Linked DNA regions of Notamacropus eugenii. The protein of the gene in region 2 interacts with the protein of the main gene of each other region in a pairwise test. Links are inferred from orthologs where the notes say so. Each region holds a gene or a part of one and is shown on either strand. Other genes may lie near its edges.

The links.
Region 1: the proteins of YAE1 (region 2) and LTO1 interact in binary tests that used the Homo sapiens proteins (3 or more experiments, as listed by UniProt). The link is inferred for Notamacropus eugenii from reciprocal best matches to the Homo sapiens genes YAE1 and LTO1.

The regions. Positions count from the first base shown.
Region 1 is NC_092873.1:21,947,531-21,955,871, forward strand, and holds the start of LTO1 (protein LTO1 homolog), read right to left. Parts: upstream 3,445-8,341; 5' UTR 3,177-3,444; coding exon 3,127-3,176; intron 328-3,126; coding exon 222-327; intron 1-221. UniProt on the Homo sapiens protein: The complex LTO1:YAE1 functions as a target specific adapter that probably recruits apo-ABCE1 to the cytosolic iron-sulfur protein assembly (CIA) complex machinery. May be required for biogenesis of the large ribosomal subunit and initiation of translation.
Region 2 is NC_092874.1:480,882,294-480,891,076, reverse strand, and holds the start of YAE1 (protein YAE1 homolog), read right to left. Parts: upstream 3,319-8,783; 5' UTR 2,620-3,318; coding exon 2,485-2,619; intron 1-2,484. UniProt on the Homo sapiens protein: The complex LTO1:YAE1 functions as a target specific adapter that probably recruits apo-ABCE1 to the cytosolic iron-sulfur protein assembly (CIA) complex machinery. May be required for biogenesis of the large ribosomal subunit and initiation of translation.

The DNA.
Region 1 (8,341 bases), on a different chromosome or scaffold from region 2:
TGACCCAGCCACATGAGACCCTCAGCCACATGAGACCCTCAGCCACAAGACCTGAGACATCATCGTTAGGCCCTGGCCCTGCTTCTCTGGCCCATTTAAAACAGTTACATTCCCAGTGAAATGATGCCTCCAGATCAGGCCTTGCCAGTTGAGATCCCCCTGGGTGGCCCAGTCACCAGGAGGCTCCTCCCTTCTCCCCCCTCAGAAGGGTTTCTATTTACCTCAGACCCGATGTTAGCGCCGTGAGACACTCCATATTGCCTCCCCTCGGTCAGACCCAGACAGCTGCCTTCAGTGTAACCTTCCTGATAGCCTTCGCCATGATACCTGGGACAGAGAAAACACACAAGATAAACCTGAAGAGGGGGCAGTTACAGAACAAGGACCCACGGCCATTGTGGTGGCAGGACTCGCGGCTCTTTGCCAGTGAAGACAAAGGTGGTGATGATAAAGGATAACGAAGGATGACATTGCAGAACACGCCACAGAAGACTCAGCGACCCCTGTCCTATGGGGCAACGTGCCAGTCTGATCACACTTCCTGGCCCGCAATGGAAGGGGCCTCAGAGATGCTCTCTCTGGAGAACTGCAGCGGGACATGTGGTCAGGGAGCCCCACAGGCGACTGGCCCATGTTCAGGGGGTGGAACCCGCTGTAGCCACAGCAGAAAAAGGGTGAGTCTGGGAAGAAGTCACCTTTCGTTTCCTGGGGTGCCCCTTCACCTGTTCAAACCTCAGTAGTGCCATGATGCCATTGGGTGCACAGCATGGCTGTGATGTGGGTGTGAGTGAGAGGCATGGCTGTGCACGGCACTAATCCCCAGGGATGCTGACACAGGGGGAGACTGCAGTGGCCAGGCCCACCTTTCCTGCAACAAAGATGGTCCTCATAGAATCATGGCTCAAGCACTGGAAAGGGGACAGCAACGTGGTGGGGCAAGGCTGAGACCTCTGGAGGTGGGGGGCTACCACAGTCCCTTGACTCTCAGTCCATGGCAAGGAACCATTCCAGAGACAAAAAGGCTTAGGAAGTACCCCAGAAAGACTCCATCACCTCTAGGGCCAAGAAAAAAATCTTCTGTTGGGTGTCTAAAGTCCCCTTTCCTCTTGGACTCAGGGACACTGGCCTCCAGCTCTTGCCTGTGGACATCTTCTCTGGCCACCCTCCAGGCCTGGAGTGCCCTCCTGGCTGGTCTCCGCCCAAAGCCCACCTTCCAGGTCCTCCTGACTGCTGGTGTCTTCTCTCTGATGCAGATCTCCACTCAAGTCTGCCTACATCTTGTCTTCTCACTGATAAAATGCTGTCAGTGTAAAGGAGACAATCCAAAGCTTCTTCCGGTGAGTGTGGAGAACATGGGGAGGGCTACAACTTTCAAACCTTGTCCAGGTTGTACAAACACTTAGCCCCCTAGGGCTTAAAAAATGTACACAGATAATTAAGGGTTGATTAAGGCCTAGTGATCCAGTGACCAAATAAGCCAGCACCTGCCCTCCTGAGGATGCCCCAAGGTGTGGACTTCTGCCCCCCACACCTGTGGACAGGTACCAGGCCATCCAGCATGAAGTCAGCAGCCCCTGCCAAGTATGACCGGGCCAGCCTGGAGAAGCTGAATGCTTTGAGTGTGGGGTGAAAAAGAAAAGGAGGGTATTAATAGGGTAGGGAACGGATGCTAAGATCACGTTTTAACGCTGTTTCTAAACATTAACCTAATTCCTCCTTTCAGAGAGCAGTGGAAAGAGGGGGCTTGGAGGGCTTCTTCAACTGTAAAATGAAGGGCCCATCAGCTGCCCCTGCCTCGCCTTCAGAGACGGCTGGCCCTGCCCCGTGCCCACTCCTGCAACGCCTCCTGGTCCTGTTTCACGTGGGGCAGGCTGGCCCAGTCTTCCCTGGAGGCTTCCTGGACACCAAAGTCCAGGGGCGCAGGGGGCAGGGTGGGCTCTCCCCAAGGGGGAGGCGGCAGGGGCAGGGGCGCTCTGCTTCCGTTCTCCCAGAGGTTCCAATCCTGAGCCTGAATCGCCGGCCATGGCAGTGACGCAGACCGCTGACCACTGACCGCGGCCCCAGGCCGGACCTTGGCCAAACCAAGGGCACGTTTGCACTGATGTCGGAGGACGAGGCCCACGGCTGGAGGAAGGCTGGACAAGGGAGAAAAAAGGAGGGAGGCCCAAGGGGTGTCCACCCCACCAGCCCGGGCCGTAAGGGCACTTTGCAGACTGGGTGCGCTCCCACCTCGGACACTCGGAGGGGACGAGAACCTGCAGACGGACCAGCGCGGACAGGGGGCGCCCCCTCGGCACCTGCCACACCCGGGCGGACCCGGCCCAGAAAGGACGGCGCCTACTGTGTGCACGGTCGGCTCAGCAGAGCCTGGCCCACCTCACAGGCTCGGCCAGGGTCACACAGAGGGGGGGCCCCTGACCTTTGTGGGGGGAGGGGCCAGGGTCATACAGCGGGGGGGCCCCCCCTCTGACCTTTGTGGGGGGAGGGGCCAGGGTCACACAGCGGGGGGGCCCCCTCTGACCTTTGTGGGGGGAGGGGCCAGGGTCACACAGCGGGGGGGCCCCTCTGACCTTTGTAGGGGGAGGGGCCAGGGTCACACCGCGGAGGGGCCCCTGACCTTTGTGGGGGGAGGGGCCAGGGTCACACAGCGGCGGCCCCCCTGACATTTTGGGGGAGGGGCCAGGGTCACACAGCGGGGGGGCCCTGACCTTTGTGGGGGGAGGGGCCAGGGTCACACAGCGGGGGGGCCCCCTGACCTTTGTGGGGGGAGGGGCCAGGGTCACACAGCGGCGGCCCCCCTGACCTTTTTTGGGGGGAGGGATCTGTGAAGACAAAACCATTTTCATAGCAATAATGAAGACGCCTCCGGAGGGACGCACCGACAGGCGGGCGGGGTGACGGACGGACCGGCAGACGGACCCCCTCAGTCACCCCAAGGGTTCTCCCAAAGCTTGGCCCCGCCCCCTCCCCAGGCCCCTAGGGGGAGGGGAGGATCTCTTGGGCCGAGCCCCGGCCCCGCCCCTCAGGTTCTGCCCTGAAGGAAGCCCAAGGCCCGGGTAGGATTTGCACCCGGTGCCCGGACGGGGCGGAGCCGGGGAGACTGAGGCACGGCGGGAGCCTACCCACCTCTCCTCCGCCATCACGATGGCATCGAACAGGTCCGGGGGCCGGTCCATTACCCGGTTCGGTTCCGGCCCACCAGTGGTTGCCTCTTCCTACTCCCCTCCCGAGCCGGGCCGGCCGCGCAGAGGCCGCTGGGACAGAGACTACGGCGAGCTGGAGGGCCCGAGAAGCGTAGGTCATGGCGCATGCTCAGTAGGCGCCGGACTTTCTTTACCCCCCCCTTGCCTTTAATGGCACATTCCAGGCCCCCTTAAAGGGCGTTCTGACTGGCTGCAACCACTGATGGGGGGGGGGGGGTTCTGACATTGAGAGGGCGGGGCCTGGGCGGGGCCTGGGCGGGGCCAGAGGAAGAACCAGGCCAGTCTTCCCGGCTCTGGTCCGCAGTCTCCCAGCAGCGCAAACACGCGGAGCTTAATCCTTGCTTATGGATGGAGGTACAAAACACACAGACACGCCGCAAAGTCTGGGGTCCTGGGAGGCCATCTTCTGCCTCAGTTTCCCCACCTGCAAAATGAGGGGACGATTAGTTCCAGGGCTCTTCCTCTGGCGTGCTCGGGCGCTTAGCTCGGGTGCGCGACACACAGTCAGGACTTAATAAATGCTTCCTCCCCAGGCTCTCGTTTACTTACGTCCCCCCAACCCCAAGGCGGAGAGCCCCTAAAGCCCCAGGATCTGGGGGAACCCTGGTTGTCACCCTACCCCCCCAGATGAGAAAGCTGGGGTCCCCTTTCAGGGAATCCCTGCCTCTGGCATAGCTGGCTTTGGATCCCGATCCCCGACCCTCGATTCCTGTCTTCCCTGCTGTAAAAAGGGAATTGGACCGAACCTCCGGGCTCTCCCGCATCGTCCTGCACTGCTGGAGTCCGGGGACCCGACCCACAGGTCATTTCACTCCGGGGCCACCCCTGGGGAACTCCAGTCCTGGTGGAGATTTGACTCAGGCTTGGACCCCAATTCATTAAACTCGGAGCAGACAAAGCCTTGGGGCTCTTAGCTTTTGGGGGTCCTGGTACAGCTCAACGTCTCCTGACCCTCACTGAGGACTTCTTTTTATCTACTCTGAGGCTGTTCTCCATCATGGGACACAAGCAGGAGAAACAGCGAAATTCTACTGATTCCTATGTGGGGTTGGAAGGACTCGAGAACTCAGATTCCTTCCAAACCAGAGATTCTACTAATGCTCCTTTGCAGACTTGGCTTCCATTGTACCCCTCTGTGCTTGCAGAGGTCATGGCAAAGGGTAGCAGTTATTTACTGTCCACAGAACTGTTTCTGCTGCTCTTTCCCTCTGGGCATTTAATGCCTATATGGCTCCCTATGCCATGGATAGGGTCATGGCATCATAAACACAGAGCTTCAGAGGATCCCTGATCACTGGATGCCATGGAGTTCAACTCCCTGATTTTACAGGCAAGGAAACAGAGGCCCTTGGAGTCAATCAGTCAACATGCATGTACTAAGTGCCTACTATGAGTCAGTATCTCTTATGGGGATACAATGAAAGGCAAAAAGCTCTTTTGAGGAACTCACAGCCAAGAGGGGTGATATGTAAACCAGCAGGTAAAAACAAAATGTGTACTGGGTGAGTTGGAGTTACTGAACAGAGGGAAGATGTTGGCATTCAGGCAGACCCAGGAAGAATTTTTGCAGGTGGAACTTTAGCTGGAGCTTGAAAGGGAAAGGTCATGGAAAATACCTGGGTTCAGGAGATGGAGTGTGTGAGAAATAATCATGGGACTGAAGAGTAGGGGGTCACAGAGATAGAAAAAACTGGAAACATAGGAGAGGATTAAATGATGAAGGCCTGTGGATGCCAAACAGAGGATTTTGTATTTGATTCTGAATGTGGCAGGAAATCATTGGAATTTAGGAGGCTGACATGGTCAGACAAGTACTTAGGAGGGGCCAGTTTGAGAAGGTGTTGAGTGGAGAAAGACTTGTGGCAAAAGGGGTTTACTGTGCAGGTGACAGGTATGAGAATATCCACAGGACTCAGTGACAGATAAGATAAGGGAGTGAGGGAAGAGTGAGGAACTGAGGATGGTAGGGTGTGAGCCTAAAGGTCTTAAGGATAGTAACAGTATTGTGCTGTGGGCTTTGGATCCCTCCCCCTTTGAACTTTCCCATGAATTACAGGAACCCAGCCTGCCAGCTCAGAACCCCCTCCTCTCCACATTCACCAGAGGCTCCTGGAAGAATTCTTTTAACTGCCCTTTCATAGTGACCCTCCTTGCACCCTAGACCCCCATTCCTTGATTCCATCTAGACCCACTCCTTGACCAGTATATATGTGTCCATCTTTCCCCCATTAGATCACTCAGATTCTGTAAAAGTTGTATGGGCATTACCAAGGCTCAGATTCTTAAAATCTGGCCAACAGGGCAAATTCTTAAAATCTTGCCCACCTCAACCCATGCTTTAATAAACTCTGTCTCTGTCTGAAAGAAGGCTTGAGTCAAATTCTTTCAAGGCAGGACCTGCATCATTTACCCTTGAATTTCGGTGTTCTCAGCACCTCTAAACTGCAACAGCAGTTTGGAAGAGGGGAAGATTTGAGAAGAAGGAGTAAGTTCAGTTTAGAAGGTTTGCTGATCACCCAGTTTGAGATGTCCAGTTGGAAATGGGAGTCAGGGGTCAACAACAGTAAAGGCTGAATAAGGAGATCTGAGGATCATCATAGAGATAATTGAGTCCATGGGAACTGATGAGATCACCAAGTGAGAGAGTCTAAAGGAGAAGAGGTTCTGTAGGACACCCATGGTAGCAGGTGTGTAAGAGGCAAGGTAGAGAGTGGTCCCCAGGGCCCAACGCTGCAGAGGAGATCATTGGATTGGGCCACCCAGAGAACTTTGGGAGCGCTGGAGAGAACAGTTTCAATAGAATGATGAGGTCAGAAGCCAAAATGTTGAGAATTAAGAAGAGTGAGAGGAAAGGAAGCGTAAGCACCCCTTGGAGGTGACCTTTTTGAGGAGCTTTGCCACAAAGGGGAGTCAATAAACATTTTCCCTAACATATTATTTTTTTTTAATATTCTTTTTCTTTTGAGTTTCAAATTCTTTTCCTCCCTCCCATCCCTGCTCCACCCACTGAGAAGGCTAGCTAGGATATGACTCATCCATTTGAAATCATGCAAAACTGATTTCCATATTAGCATGTCACCCAGAAAGCAAGAAAAAGAAAGAAAGAAAATTGTTAAATTAAATGAGGAAAAAATAAAAATAAATTAAATACAGAAAATTATGCATCCATTCGAACTCCATCAGCTCTCTCTCTCTGGGAGAGGATAGCATTGTTCATTACGAAGCCTTTGGAATTGTCTTGGATTGTTGTCTTGATCAGAGTGGGAGAGGGATTCTACTGACTTTACTGTCAACAGATATTTCTTAAGCACCTACTGTGTACAGAAACTGAGCTAAACCCTGGGGATATAAATAAAAATAAACATTACAATGGGGGAAGTCAGCATACAGAAGGAAAGAGGTGGGGTTGAGAAGTTATTGGGTGTGGGAACTTGATGGAGGGTATCCTAGAGGTCCCGATAGCACAATTGTGGGACTTGAGGAGAAATCCCTGGTCCTGCCCTGGAGCCCAGGGTCCAGCCCTCTGTCCAGTCAGGGTCCGTGCTGAGTGGATTCCATCTCACCGTATAGGGCTATTTCCCGGGGAAGGAATAAGTTGCCCCCCATCCCCCGGGGAATAGGGAGAAGGCCTTGGATGAGAGCTGGGAGGGAGGGTGGCTCAGGGCAGGGTTTGGTTTTCATCTTTGAGGATGGGGGAGACGTGGGCATGTTGGGAGGTAGTAAGGGAGCGAGCCAGCAGTACACTAGGAGAGATGGAAGAGGAGTGAGAGGGGGGTGACAGAGAGTGTTGCCAAAGAGAAGGTCACCTCTTCATGGGAGACAAGGAGTAGATTCAAAGCTGACCGTGTCCAGTGTTTGGGCGGTTGGATGCAAGTCTCAGACTTTCAAGCATCACTCATCTCAAGGCTAAGGCTACAAGGCAGCGGTCACTGGAAAGCGCTCTTGCCACTAGATGGAACCCGCATCCCAGAAATGTTATCCTGCTTGGCTTTTTCAGATGCTCCTTTATCGCTTCCCAACAGCCACTGGGAGGCATCAAGGTTCAGTGGAAGAAGCTGACAGTCCCCTCATCCCATATCCCTGCGCACCACCTTCCTCTCCAGGGCCCCAATGTAGGCTCCTCTGCCCTGCTCTGAGGAGCCAAAGTCCCCAAGACCAAAGCCCCATCAGCAGCTCAGGCAGAGAGTGGGAGGTTAAGACTGAGAGCAAGGCTACACCAGTGTCTACCTCCCCATTTGATGGAGGGATACCCATTTGTCCAGTGGGGTCATGACTCAGAGATGTTGGCCAAGGACCCGGCTAGCCTCAGTCCATCTTCTTGATCCCTGACCCTACAGAGTCTGTTTCTCCATGATAGCCGCAGGCTCACCAAGTCCACCAAAGTGGGGAGGGGGCCAGGTTCATTAAATACCGAGCCATTTAATCGCTGACTTTATTTAGAGTGTGGTTTTATCCTAGGGACCTTAAATCTCTTTTGAAACATTCAAAAGATAAGAAAATAGACTATCAAAACTGGAAGAGACCTCAGAACATGGAATGTTAGCAGCAAGGTCCTTAGAACATAGAACATAGACTGTTGATGTTTGATGGGCCTTTTGCACCTAGAGTATCAGAGCTGGGAGGGATCTTAGCACAGAAACTGTCTGTACTTGATAGAGCTTTGACACCTTGAATGTCAGAATGAAAACACAAAAAATCAGAGCTGGAAGAGATCTTAGAACAAGAACTAGTAGAACAGAGAAGGAACTCAAAGTATAGAACACAGAAAGTCCACACTGGGAGATGCCTTACAACTGAAAACATGGAATTGTAGAGATGGGAAGGGTCTTCTGGGTGTTTTCATTTCTATGGGTTTCCTCCCAGATGGTCACAAATGATCTCTCTCTAAACCTGCCCCAAAGCTACAATTTACCAACAGGAGCCCACTGACTTCTCTCCCTTCTGTGACTTCTCCTCCCTTCTTTTGAAAGGCTTTCAGTGGCCACTCCACCCTCCATACCAGTGTGGATGGTCTGATCTGGGTCCCAAGCATCCCTTCTCCAGTTGATCAGCTCCTCTGCCATGTGGACAACTTCCATCTGCTCCAGGGAACTCTCTTCTCCCATCTCCCTCCACTCTGGCTGTCCCTAGGCCTCCAA
Region 2 (8,783 bases):
TCTAGACTAAACCATTTTCCAATCTTCAGGCACCCCTCCCCCCAAAACCTGCTGGAGGCCAGAATTCAGGGGACTTTCCAGGAACCAGCCCTGACAATGTCCGAAGTTGAAGGCCAGAGAATAGATAGATCCACAGTGAACTCCCCAGCCCTGTCCAAGCTGAGAGGAGGCCAAGAGGCCACTGCTCCTGCAGGCAGGCCTGGAGAAGAATGAGGAGAGAGGGAGGGTACAGGACCACATGGTGCCTTCCTTCCAAGTGGGGCAGAGAGCAGGATGAAACACCCCCAGGGCAAAAGACGATGGCTGGTCAAACTGGGAATTGTTGTCCCAGCCATGCTCCTCCTGGCTGGGATTCACACTCATCCCTCCCTCATTTCTTTCCCAAGGTGGGATGCAATCTCTTAGCTCCATCCAGCATCTAAGAAGCTCCTTTGGCTTCTATAAGATGGGGATAATAGCACCTAGTGCATGGCCCTGGTGTGAGGATCAAATAGAACACATGTGAGATGGTCTCCCAGTCTTACAGCTCTGTGACTGCCAGTCATGAGTAAGCCCTCTGCTAGGAAGGACTGAGTGGAGACCACTCTGACACAGGAGGATGGGCTGTGTACTTCCTGACATTTGACCTGTTAGAAGGCTAACTACGCTATTGCTAAGGGTGGCCTCAAGATCATGCAGAATCATGGATTTAAATCTGGGTGGCCCCTCAGAAGGCCTGATCCAGTCCAATCCCCTCATTTTACAAATGGGGCCACAGAGGCCCAGGGGGAGCAAGGACTTGTCCACAGTCACACAAAGAATCTGAGAGGTCACCAGAAGGTCTGAGGATTCCGAAGTCACGTTTTTCCTCCTTGAGCCATGCTTATGTACCTACAGTCAATCCTCAACTTTCACAGGGGTAACATTCCTACAAAACAGCATAAAAGTAAAAATATGATTTTATGGGAAATAGACTGCCCAAACTGTCATCTTGTTGCTGGAGATGGTTGAAGGGGCAGCTACCCTCTATCTTCCTTCCTTTGGGCTCTTTGGCTGAACTGTTCCCTAAAGCACACACCTGGGGCCAGTACCCCAGCATGCAGATCGCCTCTCATTTATTTCTCTACTGCACAGAGCTGCAAATGTGTAATGTCCATGCGGCTGCCCACATAAAAGTGAAAATGAAGTTACTAATAAAATCACACACAGGCTTCAAGTTGAAAAGTTAAACTCTTGAATGGAGGAGTGACTTGGGTTGCTTCCAGATTACTCCCTGCATCAGACTGAGCTCCCAGGACCATTTGTCTTTTTTCTTTCTTCATATCCTTGGTGTTTGGCCCATGGTAGGCACTTAACACATGCTTATGGAATTGATCCCTGACAAATTTTCTAAGACTGTCATTGACAGTGTCCTCTGGGTCCCTGGGGTGCAGCTGGCCCTGACCTGGAACCTCATGATTCTTATCATCACCTCAGTTATCTCGAGCTTCAACTTTTTATTCTAACCTTCGAGGTCCAAAGATCGTTCTCAGAAGCAGAGCAAATTTGCCTTCTGTTAGCAACACCCCATGGCCTTGGAGTAGTGGCCTTATCCCTTATCTGACCTCCATCGACAACGCCCAACAGAGCTTAGAAAAAAGTCCTCCGTGGCCATCATCCCCAGCCTTAGCACACGTCGACATTAGGACTCCTGACATAATTTTTATAGGATATCTCATTTGCAGTTACTGGCCCTTGCTTCCCTCCTCTCTGATCGTATGTTGTTCTATGGACATGGATGGGGGAAAAAAGATTATGTCTTCTCATTCACTTTTGGTTTCCTATAATTCTGAGAGCCTACCTCTCCCACACTGCCAAAGGGGTCCATGACACACAAAAAGGAAAGAATTCGGTCTTAATTTTTAATTTTAACTGCCATTAACACAAATAAGAATAAAAGAAAATACAATAGCCAGTAGAAGAAACCAAACGTGTTCTAACTTTTAACAAGGTGGTAACAGTAACTGACAAAGTCCCTGAGTATCAGAGGCGAGCTTTGCTACTGTGGATGAGTCTATTTACAAAGTTACAACCGTGCTGCCCACAGGTCCGGCTTCTCACGCTAGCTTTCGCTTTCAGGGGAGGGCTCCAAAGGTGCACTGGCGTTTCAGGCTCCAAACTGGCCCCTTACCGGGCGCACAACGTCCCCGCCGCCAGCCCCGGGCCCTGGGGTAAGGAGAGTACCCTGCACACGCCTTTTATTTGTAAACAAATGCCTTTAAAAGCACGTACGTGGGAGGAGGGATGCCCCAGCTTTATCAAAGTCACGGCTAGGGAGCCGGTCGAGGGGGAGGGGCCGACCGCCACGTGCAGGCATCGCGGAATCGAAGCCCCGCCCCTAGCACGACTTATTGGCCGCACGACTCTAACGTCACTTCCGCTCCCTGCCCTCTGTCTCTTTCACACACACCTCCCCTACGCTGACCCCGCCTCTCTGGAATAGAGGGCTTCCGGAACGAGCCTCACCCGCACGCGCCGCTCCAAGCGGCTCCTCCACTCCCGCTGCGCCGGCAGTGTCTCGTCTGCTTCGTCGTCGAACACGTCCACGTCCGCGCCCCCGTCCTGCCCGGGTCTCGCGCATGCCGCCTTTAACCACGACATCGCGACCTCGCCGCCGACGGGCCCCGCCCCCGGAAGTGCCCGCCCCTGCTTCCGGGGATCGTGAGGCGAGTTCCAGAGCTCCACCCTTTCGTTCTTAGGGCGCCGCCGCGAAGTCCGCCAGCGGTGGGTGACTGCGCGGCCATCTTTGAAGAGGGCACGCGCTAAGTGTTCTTATGCGTATGCCCCGGAAGGAGCCGCAGTAGAAACGCCTGTACTACGGTGGCCATCTTTGGAGAGGGCGGGCACAGCTCCTCCCCGCCCCATTCTGTGCACGGAGCGCGCTTGCACTATGACCGCCATCTTTTTGAAGGGTACACTCTGCTCTGTCCCACTGTTCTTTCCTCACTGCCTCCGGAAAGGAGTTGTCAGGACATTGGGTAACATGTGATCGCCATCTTTATAAAGGGCAAGCTGTCCTTCGTCTCTCCCTTCCGTCTTCACCGTTCTGCGCATGTGCGGAAGGGATCGTTGGCTGCGGGGTGAACCGAAGTTTGAGGTCGCCATCTTTGTGAAGGGCAGCCACAGCTCCACCTCTCTTGCAGACGGCGCTTTTGCGCATGCCCTGGAAAGAGCCCCCTGGCCACACTAGCTTTATGACGTCAGCTATCCTCTGTAACCCACTCGTACACGGAGGGAGGCTTAGAGGCAGATTTGGAACTCAGGTCCTCTGGCACTAAGAGAGGGTCTAGTCGTGCCTGGCTGTTGTGAGCCTCAGTAGAGGGAGTGCCCTCCCCTGAGAAGTCTCTTCCAGCTGGGCAGCTCCTGTCCTAAGCGTGAGCCCATCACGTGTCCGCCCTTGGGCTGGGGCGGGGGAGGGGTGCTGGTAACCTGGAAAGGGTGTCCTGCTGAGCTTGGGCTCTTGCGCTCAGTCTTTCCAGGGTCCTTCCGCTCAGGCGCCACTTTCCCCACTGGATACATTGTGTCCAGCTTCATCTCTCTCCACCCCCTCCTTGTGACCGCACCTCCTCGCCCGCCCAGCATCAAGCGCGTTCTGCTGTTCCTAACATCTCGGCTGCACTCTCCTGACCCGCAGCCCGGGGAGGGCAGTGACCCCATTGTGTGTCTCCCCCCTCTCCCACCGTGCTGAAGGTACCTTCAGCTTTGGCTCAATCAGTTCTGCTGAGATTTGCAAGGATCCACAACCCGGATGCATTTGGGGATGGCTCTTCGCTTCAGGGTTTACTGGGTGATTAATTCGTTGAGGTCAGGGGTTCCGCCTTGGTTCTCTTGGTGAAGCCCCCACTGAGCCTGGCACTCAGCGATACCTTAGGTGATGAATAACTTTTGGCTTTCCCATCACGATCTCTTTGCAGCCTCCAGATAACACTTTGAGTAGGACAAGGATTTGACCTATTTTGGAGGTGGAGATCTCAGAACTCCAAAGAAAACAAGTTGTTGAGGCAACTGTGGAGTGCCCCAGTGCACAGAGCGCTAAACAGCCCAGGACCTGCCCCAGGGGCAACAAGACTGGAGTTCAAATGTGAACTTAGACACTAGCTGTGTGGCATTGGGCAAGTCATTTCACCTCTGTTTGCCTCTGTTTCCTCCAGTGTAAAATGGGGAGAATAACAGCACCTACCTCCCATATGGTTTTGACGATCAAGTGAGATATTTGAAAGCATTTAATCTAGTGACAGGCATATAATAGGCACTTAATACATGCTTATTTCCTTCCTTCCACAAATGACTTCCCCAAGGTCACACAGCTAGCCAGGCACTAGTGGGACCCTGAAGCTAGCACCTCTGAATTCCAAGGGTGGTATTCTCTTCCCATTGTGCAGATGACCCATAAATATGTCTGGGTGTGGACCAGAGGACCTAGACCAAGCTGAAAGGGCCTTTATAGGGCATCTAGTTTGAGCCCTTCATTTTTCAGCTGAGAGCTAAGGTCCAGGTCACATGGGAAGTAAGGGTGAAGGCATGATTTGAACCCAAGCCCTCCATGTACCATGTGACAGAACTTTGTAAAACTTGTTGAACCGAACTGTTACTATCTTCTGGTGACTTAGGAGGAAACGATACTGCCATGACAAAGTATGTAAGCCTTGCTTTGAATGAAGAAATTTTTATCAAGAAATTGAAGACATTGGGGGCCTAGATGGTGTGTTCATCATGGTTAATGGCTTCAGAAGTTCCTCTAGAAATCTGTATCATCAGTCATTGTCTCTTCTCTTTGTCTTGGCTTTCTCCATCTCTGCCTGCTGTCTTCTGTCTCTCCTGAGCATCTGTATCCATTTCCATCTCACCCTAGCTACTTAACTGGTTTCTTACCCACATTTTACAAACATTCAGGTCTAAGCCAGTTTGGGTCATGGATTGACCCAGCCAGAGTCTCAGCCTGTCACCTTCTATTTTGCTTCCTTTCCATTACCGAATTCCCATTCACTTTTCAAGCCCTTTCATTCTGGTTTCTAACCCCACCATTGTGTAGAAACTCTAAGGTTCCCGATGCTTGCTTAACTGATCAGTCACCCTTGTAAGGGTTCATTCAGATGGAAGTGCAGCTGAGAGCTTGGGACTTCCAGGAGGGAGTGGGTTATCACTGCCTGTGAATGATCCTTGGTGACTGCAGCAGACACGGCTTCGTGAGAAAGGGCTTCTAGAAGTGACAAGTTAAGGATCCAGGACGACTCAGTTTGGATGCTGTTGCGAAAACTTCCTGCACAGTGCATGCTTCGTGTACTTTGTGTTTTTAGTTCAGTATCTTTTCCATAAATCCTGCTCTGTCTGCTTTTGATGGCGCTCTATTTTCTGTCCACTGTTCTGCTTGTATTTTACCCTTGTCCTTTCAAAGACGTGCAGATCTTAAAAAAGAAAACTTCTTCCCGACTCTTCCTATTCTGTTGTTCCATTGTTTGTCTTCTGCTCACAAATCTGGGCCTTTTGCAAAATTACAATTTGTTTTTAATGTATTAAATTACAGGAGGGCTATGACCTTTCCTAGTATCTTTTGCTAAGTTTCTGGCCTGTTGGGATGCTTACAAAATATTGTGTAGCCAGTTCAATAATATAGATACTCTTCTCCAAGTCCCTCCTAAAACCCTATTTTAGGAATAGGGTCTCTAGCCTGTTCATCAGTTCTATTGAGTGACATACTGTACTGGTTTGTGACTTTAGAATGCAAGAACAGCCAGCCTCAGGAGAAAGCATTTAACTGTTGATATCAGTCTTGGTAGAAATGCATCATGATTTAGCAGCTAGAGAGGTGGGTTCAAATCTGCATCTCTGAGACTTACTAGCTGTGTGAGCATGGGCAAATCACTTAACTTTTTTGAGCATCAGGCAATTGACTCCAAGACTTTTTTGCTAAACTAAAACATGAATTGCCATCTTTCTTGGTGGAACGAATTCTTATACCAGGGATATCACAGATTCCTGATATAGTACCACAGCAATGACCAAAGCATATAGCAAACACATTTTCTAGATTATCTGCAGAACTCTTTTCCTCAGTGAAGTTACACAGTCAGGGCCTCGGGCTCTTCTTCTTCCTCTGCTCCTATCTCAAAAAGGGCTTCACTGTTTGACCTACTCATCCCTTGACTCTCTCTTTGGACTGATTTTATTTAGATACATCTGCTTTGAATGAATTCTGGCTCTTGGCTGACTCATGAAGGTCAGCACGTTGGTGGGGGCTCATAAGCTATGGTTTTTGAGGGGATACTTTGAATCTGGGGAATCCACTGTGTTAATTGAAGGGCTACAATTGTGACTTTCTTACTTGCAGACAAGGCATCAGTCTTAGGATACTGGCTGGTTGTATAGTATGCTCTGAACAATGTATGCATTGTCTCTAAGCCCTTCATGCCACTGTAATGTCCCTGGTAGTGACAGTTAGATGGTGTGTGTCACACAAAATAACAATGGTAATTGTTGAAGGAGGGGGTTCATAGGATCCCAGAATCATAGAATTTTATATTTAGACCAGTCCTCAGTCCAACCTGAACCTGAGCAAGAACCCTTCTCCAACATTGTTGACAAGTCTTCATTTATTATGGGCTTGAAAAGTTCTGGAAAGGAAAAGGAGCTCATGTAGAATAGTCTGGAACTCTGAGAGATTAAGTCTGTTGCCTGGAGTCACACAATCAAAGTGCTAGAGACCATAGCTGAACCCAGGTCTTTCGTGTATATCATTTAGGCAAATTGTTTTAAGTGACTTCATTGAGGAGGTCTTTCTGTGGTGTCCTGGGGCTTGATAAGGTCAACTCAATGAACTTGTAAACTGAAGCTTCCAGAGGACCTGACCACCCATAGGAAAGTCTGTTCCATCTGTATGTTTCATGCTAGATAATACCTTAGCAAGGTGCTATTACTCTGTTTCAAGCCTTGCTTAATATGAATAATTAGAGGATTGACTGCCAAAGTGAGCTCTTTGCAGCTGTTTGACCCTGGGCAAAGTACTTAACCTTACCCAGCCTCACTTTCCTTTTCTGTAAAATGGAGATAATAAGTCCTCCCTTCCTGGGTGGTTTTGAGGAGCAAATAAAGGAATTTCATATAAGTATAAATATATAAATTTATATATACATGTATGTATATATTTATATAAGTGCTTTGCAAGCTTGAAGATGATTATAGAAATGCAGACTATTATTACAGTTGTGATTATTATCACTATTATTATGGCATCTTTTGAGGAGTCATATGATTTTTCCCGTATGCCTGGGAGACTCTTTGTTGGAGAACCTTTGATGAGAGGCTTTGCTCTGCCAAATAATATGTTTTGTCATGGTCGATGAAGAAAAAATCCAGTGGAATTCTGTCTTCTCTGCACCTTTCAGTGACTGTAGAGATGTGAGTCATCTGTAGAATCTCACTTGCCAAAATCATGACTTCATCATGGATGCCCTTGATAGATGCGTTAATTTATCCTCATAAAGATTTTGTAGAGATGGGAAAGTGGTCATATTGTTGAGTCATTGATATTTTTATTATTTTTATGTGGTAACGATAGCCATAGGATCAAGACTTAAAGGTTGAAGTTTCTGCAGAGGCCATATGGTTGAACTCTATTTTTACAGATGAGTACAGTGAGGCACAGGGAGGTTAAGAGTCCAGTATCACATGAATTGTATTAGGGATAGAATTAAACTTAGATCCTCTGATTTGAAATCCAGTGTTCTTTCCACTATCAGCCTGATGACTTACCCCAAGCATTTGGACTCTCCTCCTCTTTCATATTTCTTGACAATCAGTCGTCAATGAGCTTGGACTGCCTTTACATAGATTTCATCTGGCCAGCTATTCTTGCCACTTTGTTTTTGTTAGAGCCATCTCTCAGTATCATGTCTAAATCAAGGTGATGATTTTACTTTTTTCTCTTCAGGTCACATTTGAGGTATTGTGTCTGGTTTGGCCACCATACTTTTAGAAGAATATTGACAAGCTAGAACTTCCTTAATCAGCTCTTCAACCAATAAGCACTTATTAAGCACTAATTATATGTGGAACTGTGCTAAGCACTGAGCATACACAAATGTGAAATGAGGTCCCTTACCTCAAGAAACTTACATTTGACTGAAGAAGACAACATTCACCTTTGTAAGCATCCAGGGTGGTTAGGAAAAAAAGTGTTACAGGAAACATCCTTTCAGAACCCAAAGAAGGTAGTTGGGATATTTAGCTGGGAGAAGAGATTTCAGGAGACATCATAGCTCTTCTTAAATATTTGAAGAGCAGTGTGAAAGAAGGAACACACTCTTGGTCCCTCTAAAGGACTCATTAGAACTAACAAGTGAATGCTACAAGGAGACAGGTCTGGAAACAAGGACTTTGTAGCAATTAGGAGTGTATGAAAAAGAAACAGCTTGTCTTTCAAAGTAATGAGTTCCTTGTCTTTGGAAGTGTTAAGACTGTCAAGGATTCTGCAGGAGGGATGTTTTCATTGGGAGGTGGTACCTGCCTCTAAGACTGCTGAGAACATTTAAAGATTCTATGACTACCTACTTCTCTTTGATTGATTCCTCAATTCTTGACATTGGCCTCAATTTCCAGGAGCTCTTCTGATTCTGTCACTGTATGTTTGAAATGCCAGCAACCCCTCGAATAATGAGAGCAGTGTGTGGGTGCACATCAGGGCACTCAGATCCAAACCCAGCTCCTGCCACTCACTACTTGTGTGACCGTGTCAAGTCACTTTCCACTCCCTGTGTCTTAGTGTCCGA